2 linked regions of the Coturnix japonica genome follow. The main gene of each other region encodes a partner of the protein of the gene in region 2 in a complex. Links are inferred from orthologs where the notes say so. Each region holds a gene or a part of one and is shown on either strand. Other genes may lie near its edges.

Region 1 (4,554 bases), on a different chromosome or scaffold from region 2:
CCGGGCTGTGGCAGCGAGCTCAGGTGCTTCCATCGGGCAGAACTGGCTCCATCCGAGCACAGCAGCGCTGGGCACGACTTAAAGCACGAGGGATCAAAGCTTCCCCCATCACAGCCTTCCTCCGGCTCCTGCCTTCTCTAAAGCATCCCGACCATCTCTCGGCTCCATTCCAATCAATCAACCCGACGTTGCAGTTGGACGTGGGTTTGATAAATAAAGACATGTTACCAAACGGTTTTTCTTTCTTTTTAACCTTTTTTCCGGCTACTTAGGACAAAGAAAAAACAACAACCCCAGCAACGTGACAATGCTTGACTTCTCCTTTAGTTACATAAATAATTTCTTTATAAATATCTCTTTATAAACAATATATAAATAGCTTTACAACATAAATACATTTATGCATGACATGAATTTACAAACAGCAACGTTATACAGCCGGCTTCATCAGTCTCTCAGAAAAGCACTGTCCCTTGTCTCGGTGAGTGTTTGTATATATAATATAGAGAAGATAGAGAGCGCTTTTAAGGGGGGGGAACGGGGAGGGAAAAAGAACAACCGAAACAGCTGGTGGGTGCCGTGACTCCTCGTACCGAAAAGAAAAACACAGCCACATCTTTTGTCCGATCCTGGGGGGGTTTCTCTGCTCTTCCAGGCGGTGCCTGAGGGGCGGCCGTGCCCGGCCCTTGGGGGAACGACGGAGCTGCTCCGGTGCCCTGCGAGGAACGAAGGAGAGCCGTGAGCGCCCGCCCCGCATTGCCCAGCATTGACCCGAGATGCGACCCCGGCGGGATGTCCCGGGTTTGGGGTGCGGGTACGGAGCTCGATGCTGTGATACAGCGAGGGGAAATCTCGGCCCGCTCTTGCCGGGGTTGTGTGTTGGTGATGCTGACCGCTCGCCCCGGGGCCAGCAAGGACGGGAGCTCGCGGCTTTCTCGTCCTGCCCGCCGCGCTAAAGCTTTATGGGTACGGGGGGATCCGGGAGCAGAATGAGAACGGAGCTGGGATTCGGGGGGTCCTCCGGCCCAACCCAGCCGAAAGTTTTCGCTCCTCGCACCCGGCTGAGAAACCGCCCTGAGCGGAGCCGGGCGCGTGGGGTGAAAGTTCTGAGCAGAGCTTAAGGACACAGGGCGATGCCCCGGGGATGCCGAGAGCCGGTGCCGGCACCTGCGGGTCGCACAGCCGGGTGTCTGCGTCCGGACACAGCCCGGACCGGGGCGGAGCGGCGGCACCCTCGGTCCCCGACACGGCGGAGGAGCCGCGCTCATTGCCGCTGCCCATGGCCGCCCCGTGCCGCTGTGCTCAGCGGATCCCCCGCTGCTCGGCTCGGCCGGACTCGCACATCGCAGCTCCACGGGAACCACCCCCGGGGCAGCCCCGCCCGCCCCGCGCCCAGCACCGCCCTCGGGCCGCGCCGCGCACTCACCGCCAGGGGTCCCTCAGCAGCCGAGGCCGCTCATGGCTCCGATGCGGTCCAGCTTGAGGCCGAAGCAGCCCTTCCCGAGCCCCTTCTTGTGCAGCCCCTTATGGCGGCGGCCCGACGGCTCCTGCAGCAGCCGCGCCCAACCCGCTCGGGGCCGCGTCTCTGCCCGCGCCTCCCGCGCCTCCCGCGGCCCCGCGCCGCCTCCTCCGCCGCCTCCTCCGCGGTTCCGCTCCTTCTCCTTCTCCTTGTCCCGCTCCGCTCCCGCAGCCTCGGGCGGACCCGCCGCCGCCGCCGCCGCCGCCGCTGCTCCGCGGGACGCCTGCGGGGAGACGGGCGGTCACTGCGGGGCGGTCACCGCGTCCCGAGCTCCGCGTCCCTACCCCGCAGCGGAGCATCCCCCGCCGCCCCCCGCGGCCCCCGCTGGGTCAGTGCGGCCCGGAGCGGGGCTGGGGCGGAGCTCCCCCGGGCTGTGTGCAGGGCAGCCCCGAGATGGGGTCGGAACACCCCAAACTGGGCTCACCGCACCCCCCAATTCAAATGGCTGCGCCCCCAAACACGGGTCGCCGTGACCCTCCGCCTCCCACCAGCCCTCGGCCCCTTCCGATGTGGGGTGGTCCCGCTCCCCAGCTGCAGGGTCGCTGCCGCTCTGTGCTGATGCCGCTGTCACCCCACTCTGCAAAGTGGGGAACACCGGGTCCCCCGCTTTCCCAGCTCTGCCGCTCACACCTCATTAACACGCTCTGAGCACTCTCACTTCTGCGTCCTCCTCACTGCCTCCACTGTCCCGTCTGCGGCTGCTGCTCACCCCCTTCCTGCCCATCACGCCCCCCAGCTCTCCATGCCGACATCCCCCACCCACCCCCCCGCTGTCCGGCTCCGTGTGCCGTATCTCCGGTACAGGTGTCGGTGTCCTCCAGGACATCCCCGCTCCATCCCCGAGGGACACACAGGGTGCCCCCCATGGGCTCCGACCTCACACCTACACCCGGGTCTGACTCCAGCACCGCAGGGTGACGTGGGGACAGCCGTGTCCCCGCTTACTGTGGTCCTGCAGGGTGAGGACTCGCAGCGTCCTCTCCAACCACAGTTCTCCCCTACACGTGGGTCGGTGGTCTCCTACCACCCACAAAACCCAATGGGAAGGAGGACTCCGTAGCGCCATCCCCTCGCCCTAAGGACTCTATTGGGGCTCAGCAGCGGGGCAGAGGCAGCCCTACCTTCTGCGGGAGCTGGGACGCCGGCTTCGCCTCCAGCCCGACGGAGAGCAGAGCGAGCAGCAGTCCTCCGGCCAGCACGGGTGAGATCTGCATCCTGCAGTGCAGCGGGAATGGGGCCGGGGGGCAGCGGGGAGCCCCGGGGAGAGGCCGGGACGGAGGGAGTCAAAGTTCAGCGCGGAGCCGCGAGGTCCCTCCTGCCGCCCGCGCTGTGCCGAGCCACTGAACTTGGGCTTTCTGCTTCATTCATTTTATAACCCAACCTGCTCGGTGATGTCATCTAAACAACCAGGTCCAGCCCGGCCTCCCACTGCACAATAGCAGGAATTTAAAGGGGGGGTCCCCTCTCCCCTGGCAGGAACAAATGACACATCAGCCCAAGGCGATGGGCTCACAGAGCTGGAGAGCCAAAGAGGAAAGTGAGGGGCATTTGGCTGAGCTCCCCCAACCCCCCCCCCCGAGGGTGGCTGTCACCCCGTATCCCCCCACCCCACAGCCCCTCTGCTGCCCCCTCATCCATGCAGACCCCCAGGAGGGGCATGGGATGGCTGCTGCACTCCGCAGGGGGATCCTGGAGGGGGATTAAGTCCCAAAAGCAGAAATGAATGCGAAAAGCACTTCCCCGCCCCCCCCGCATCCAGGCTTCAATCAGAATGAAACTCTCAGACCCCCGTTTGCCAGGAGAGGGGGACACTGCTCTGCATGGCGGTGACACGGGGACACGTGGGAACAGGCTCACAGGTGGATGCTGTGGCTCAGACCTGGTCCCGCTCCCTGTCCCTGCCCTCCCGCTGGGGGTCGGGATGCTGCCCTCACCCTGGGGCAGTCACAGCTGCTTCGTCTGCAGGGTACGGTCAGTGTCACCCTGCCCTGCAAGGACAGTCCCCGTGCGATGTGGCTGTGAGCGCTCCCACCTGCTGCCGGGGCTGCAATGGAGGATGAGCTTTGGATGCTGGTGGCAGCTCAGGGCACGCAGCCGAGGGCAGGACTTAGGATTTGTGGTACCACCGTTGCTGCCATGCATGGCACCAGAGCCGCACCAACCCCATCCCTGGCGCCCTGAAGTGCAGGGATGCTCTTAGTGGTGCAGTGCCCCCAAATCCTATCCACGGCACCATGGAAAAGCTCCAGGCTCTCCCCAGGCTGGTGCTTTCCCTGTTCTCTGGGACTCCCCGGGGCTCTGCTCTGCCTCCAGCAGGATCCGAGCTCTTTGGGGGGCTGTGGTTTCCCCCCCTGCAGCTGCACTGCTGGGCACGGGCCGCCTCGCAGGGAACCATCCCTTCAGTTCCATGCGGCCGGGAGCTGGAAGGAGAAGGTCTCGGTGGTTTTTCCATTGTGCCTGCCAGGTGGAGACAACTTGGGCTTTTTGGAGCGCAAAGTTGCACTCGGGCACTCGGCTGCATGCAGGCAGATAAAGGCGATGGAGGCAGCATTACAGCCGGCCCCCCATGCCAGGTGACCACACGCACAGGCGTGGGGCACAGAGTTCCCTTCTGTATTTTGTGGGGCTCAGCCCCATGGGGAAGGATCCCCCCGTGGGATGAGGGGTTGCAGCCCTATGTCTGAGCATCCTGCACATGGCACAGCACAGCTGGATCTCACCACCGTGCTCTGCTGGGTTCCCGTGAGCATGTTTGCTTTGTCCCAACGCTTGCAGCCTCAGTTTTGGGGGCTGTGCTTTTAAAATCCAATTAGTGCTGTTATTCAAATCACCCTGCCCTTAACCGAAACCAGACCACATCCACCCGCACTGCTTCACAGCAGCAAAAAGCTCTCGGGTGGGGGGATGGAGGGGGAAGAAGGGATGGAGAAGGGGTTAAAAGCAACAAAATCTTTTTGCTTCGTGGGATGGGGAAGCCTTTAACCCTTGGATGTACTGTACCACCCTGTGGCTGAGATTTGGCAGAATTCAGGGCA
Region 2 (3,804 bases):
ATCACAGCTCAGCATCAGCAAGGACTGGTCAGGAGTAGTAATTTTTTTTCCCCACCAGCTATTTTTTGCAGCTCTTTCATTCTCTTTTGAAGAAACTCAAGAAACTTGACTTGGTTTAGGGTCAAAATTATGTGTATCAAGACTCCGTTTGTACGGCTGCAAGGAAACACTGGACAGCAGCTAAAATCCTGTAGCATGATTTTGCCCTGAGTGGCAGCACTGCTTCCTTCCTTGGCAGTACCGAGTCCTTTTTACTGCCTTTGGAAAAGAAATAAATGGGAAGATACAGAAAGGGACACAAACCTTGCTGGAGTCTTAAAGCTGAAAAACCTCTGTCCCAGTTGGGTACCTGCATTTCGGAGATGCAGCACATGAAAAGTATGACAGAGATTGTAACATGGAGGGGTTTGCTAAGGCAGACTACTAAGAAGAGTGGGTTCACATTAAAAAATGACAGCACTGTTGGAATGTGAATAAATTTCTGTCTTGGGCATCATACATATTTATTTTTAAAAATACTGACACTGGGAACAAGAAGTTATACTTGCATAACAGAGTTCCTAAAATAATTTCCATATTTAAATTCCTTCATGGATTGTTTTGTGGGATGTAGTGTTGCCACAGTACTTATCTGCAATTATTGCAGTCTTGGCATTAAATGCGTCTGCTCTTATGAAAAATTAAAAATATTCAGAACAGAGGGCAACAACAAACTGCAACACAGTCATCTGAGCTGAAAGAGAAAATGCCAACCGTCTGTCACATCCACTCTTAAATCATGTGTCTCTTAAAATTCCAGCACCTCCTGCCATTGGGAACAAGGAATTCACAGAAAATGTCTCTACACTTCCCTACCACATTTGCTTCCAGTGTGCAATGACCACCTCAAGTCAGTTTCCAACAGTTATTTTGCTCCTCATTGGAAAAATTCACAAAGAAACAGAAAAAATGATTAAAAGAATTATTCCATAGAAGCACCAGGGAATTTCTGATAACATAGACAGGAGGCAGATATTTGTAATTTATCCCTTGGAAAAGCAATAAGTAGACTGAACTAACTGTAATGCAAAGGAGGAGGATGCTGAGACCTCCAAGACAAATGGGCACATCCCTGTTAGGGGCTTTTGCAACATTCCTTCCTAGTCAACACCATCCTGAAATGCAAAACACATTACAAAATGCAGCAGCATACCTCCTGCAGCTGCTGCTCTTACACAAGAAGCTCCTGCTCCAAGAGGGCCTCTACACCCCAGCCAGTCACTCTGCTTGCTTCATCCAAGGTAACAAAATCACCAGTGTTAAGGAGCAATTCATCCAGGCCATTTCAGACACTTCAGGATGAGGTGAATCACCACCCAGGGGTGCCTAACTTTTTCCTGTGACTCTAAAGGGAGCCTAGCTCACATGGAGACTTGTACTTGGGGCCAGATGAATCAATTCTAATTAAATTTTACTCTCTGAGATGAAATATAGCAGCAGCATAGCAGTAAGAAGCACTAGCAGCAGCCAGAAGGGTTATATGATCAATGGTGTCTAGGCAGAAGTGAAATCAAGTCTGCAAAGCTCCCACAGTCTACAGAAAGCCAGTTTTGTGACTATTGACATAAGTAAACCTTCACCTTTTTAGACTGGTCCTGATTGAAGCTGCAATGACAAATGCTTCACTTACGACACAAGGGGTGAAGTCACTCTCAATTTCAGTCAGAACCAGACCAAACAGACCACCATGACTTGAATCATTGGCTTTGATCTTGGTCTGCCAATTTATCTTTTAGTTACTGAAGTAATTTCCTTATTGGCTGGTAGAACTTGGCACTTCCTTAGCCAACTTAGAGGACACATGTAGTGTTATCTTTGCTTCTTTAAATATCTACAACTCCGAATTTAAGCAGTAACACATGTTCATTATAAAGCTTTTCAACAAGCAGCACTGTTCGTTTCTTTAAATAATCTCAGGGGTGATAGATGGATAATGAAGTCTATGTAAGAGAATTTAACTTGCAATTAACTGATTCATTAAACAAAATACCTCATCTTTTTGTGAATGTCTTTTTTTCCTCTTTATCAGCTTTTCAAGGATTGAAAGAAAACAAGTTTTCCTTCTTTTACAACTCCCACCTGGTTTTCAATTCGAAATGAATCTGTTATTGCACTGAATTAGCTAGGGCAGGCTGCAGGAGGAAAAATATTTTCTCTGCACCTGCGAAAGAAGCTGCTTGGTTCAAAAGCCACTTTGACACTTCAACAAAATCAGGTTCCCGGACAGAAAATTCGCTCAGCTTCAGCCATATGACATTTTATAGAACTGCCAGTAAACACATTGTGCCAGTACTGCCTTCCATTTAACTAAGGCAGCTGAGATTAGGTTTAGTCTCTACCATGCACTGCCATAACAACAGATGTAACTGAAGAGGGGTGTATTTAAAAAAGCAAATATATTTAATTTTTCAGCTGATTTAACTTGACACATCTTGTCACGTTTATTTGAAATGAAGTAATTTGCTCTTATCTATCCAAACCTAGCACATTTAGACAGCCTGTGCTCTTGTTTACCAGTGCCTTCTATTCAACACAGCAGGGCTGGATGGTTTTGCACACACAGTTTCTGATCAAAAGTAAACAGGATGTATGGAAATCCTAGCATATAAGTGACTTCCGGAGACCCTGGACCTGCAGTTGCACATTCTCACTGCCAGCCCTCATGCCTCCTCTCAATAATGCCTGTAGTGCATTTCCTAGAATCACAGAAAGGCTTGGGTTTTGAAAGTACCTTAATGACCTTTTAGTTCTGAATCCCTCTTGAGGGCAAGGACACCTTTCACTACACTAGGCTACCCAAAGCCTCATCCAACCCAGCCATGTTCACTTCTTCAGAGATGAGGCATTTACAGCTTCTCTGGGCAGCCATACCAGGGCCTTCTGGCCCTCTAGGTAAATAATTTCTTCCTCATGTTTTACCTAAATCTACTTTCTTTTAATTTAAAACCATTCTTCAATATCCTGTAATCCATTCAGTTGCAATTTCTGCAATGTTATAGCCTAAAAAGAAGGTAACTGCAAAAACATGGAGAAATGGTGGTGCATTCAGTGCAGCATGTTTTAACACTAACAAACCTAAAAGTATTACCAGGCTTACAAAAGACTTTGTAATATACTCGGGCAGGAAAAACATTACCATATGATGAGCTGTTGAAGAGCTCAATATTGAAGAAAGCATAGTCCCCATTGGTCATTCCTTGCCGATGAGCAGCCAACATGATGTTCCTGATTGTGTCACCGCTGGCACACATGATTACAACTGGTGGAAGAAAACAGAAAACACAGATAAGAAAGAGTTCAAGAACTTTATGGAACAGATTCTTTAGCATGAATGCTGCCAGAGACAGTGACCTGAGCTGTCCTCTCAGTGTTGCAACAAATATGACAACATAAAGAACTAACAAAGCTAATTACCTAAACTGCTGACAGAAGATGGGCATCAAACATAGAGTGAAATTTTACTCACATCTCCTCTGAAAATAATTAAGTAGATCAACACGTTATCTAATTTTCTTACTCCGGCAGCTCAGGAAAAATTCTGCCTTCAAATTTCTTCTATTATATACATTTGTAGAGTTAATTGCAACCATAAATCTTAGTTATTACTTCAAAGTGTACATAAGACAATCTGAAGATTAAGTAATAAGATACAATGGCACTACCATTTCAATTCTTTTGAAATCTTTGGTGTAGATTTTTACCTACACTCATGCTATCTGACATTTAGGTAACTGCTCTAGAATTTGTTGCTTTGTGATGATCATT

Evidence for each region.
Region 1: the proteins of NPR3 (region 2) and NPPC are in contact, whole or in part, in a crystal structure (PDB 1JDP), measured with the Homo sapiens proteins. The link is inferred for Coturnix japonica from reciprocal best matches to the Homo sapiens genes NPR3 and NPPC. Residues at the interface, in NP_001191304.1 of Homo sapiens: Asn110, Tyr138, Ala141, Pro142, Arg145, Ala161, Gly163, Phe164, His166, Glu170, Tyr171, Tyr204, Lys208, Leu209, Arg211, Tyr214, Phe215, Leu217, Glu218, His221, Glu222, Gln225, Ile233; in NP_077720.1 of Homo sapiens: Gly109, Cys110, Phe111, Gly112, Leu113, Lys114, Leu115, Asp116, Arg117, Ile118, Gly119, Ser120, Met121, Ser122, Gly123, Leu124, Gly125, Cys126.

Annotation. Positions count from the first base shown.
Region 1 is NC_029524.1:13,423,987-13,428,540, forward strand, and holds the start of NPPC (C-type natriuretic peptide), read right to left. Parts: upstream 2,985-4,554; 5' UTR 2,734-2,984; coding exon 2,641-2,733; intron 1,743-2,640; coding exon 1,440-1,742; 3' UTR 1,427-1,439; intron 717-1,426; 3' UTR 1-716.
Region 2 is NC_029547.1:9,260,854-9,264,657, forward strand, and holds part of NPR3 (atrial natriuretic peptide receptor 3), read right to left. Parts: intron 3,299-3,804; coding exon 3,176-3,298; intron 1-3,175. UniProt on the Homo sapiens protein: Receptor for the natriuretic peptide hormones, binding with similar affinities atrial natriuretic peptide NPPA/ANP, brain natriuretic peptide NPPB/BNP, and C-type natriuretic peptide NPPC/CNP.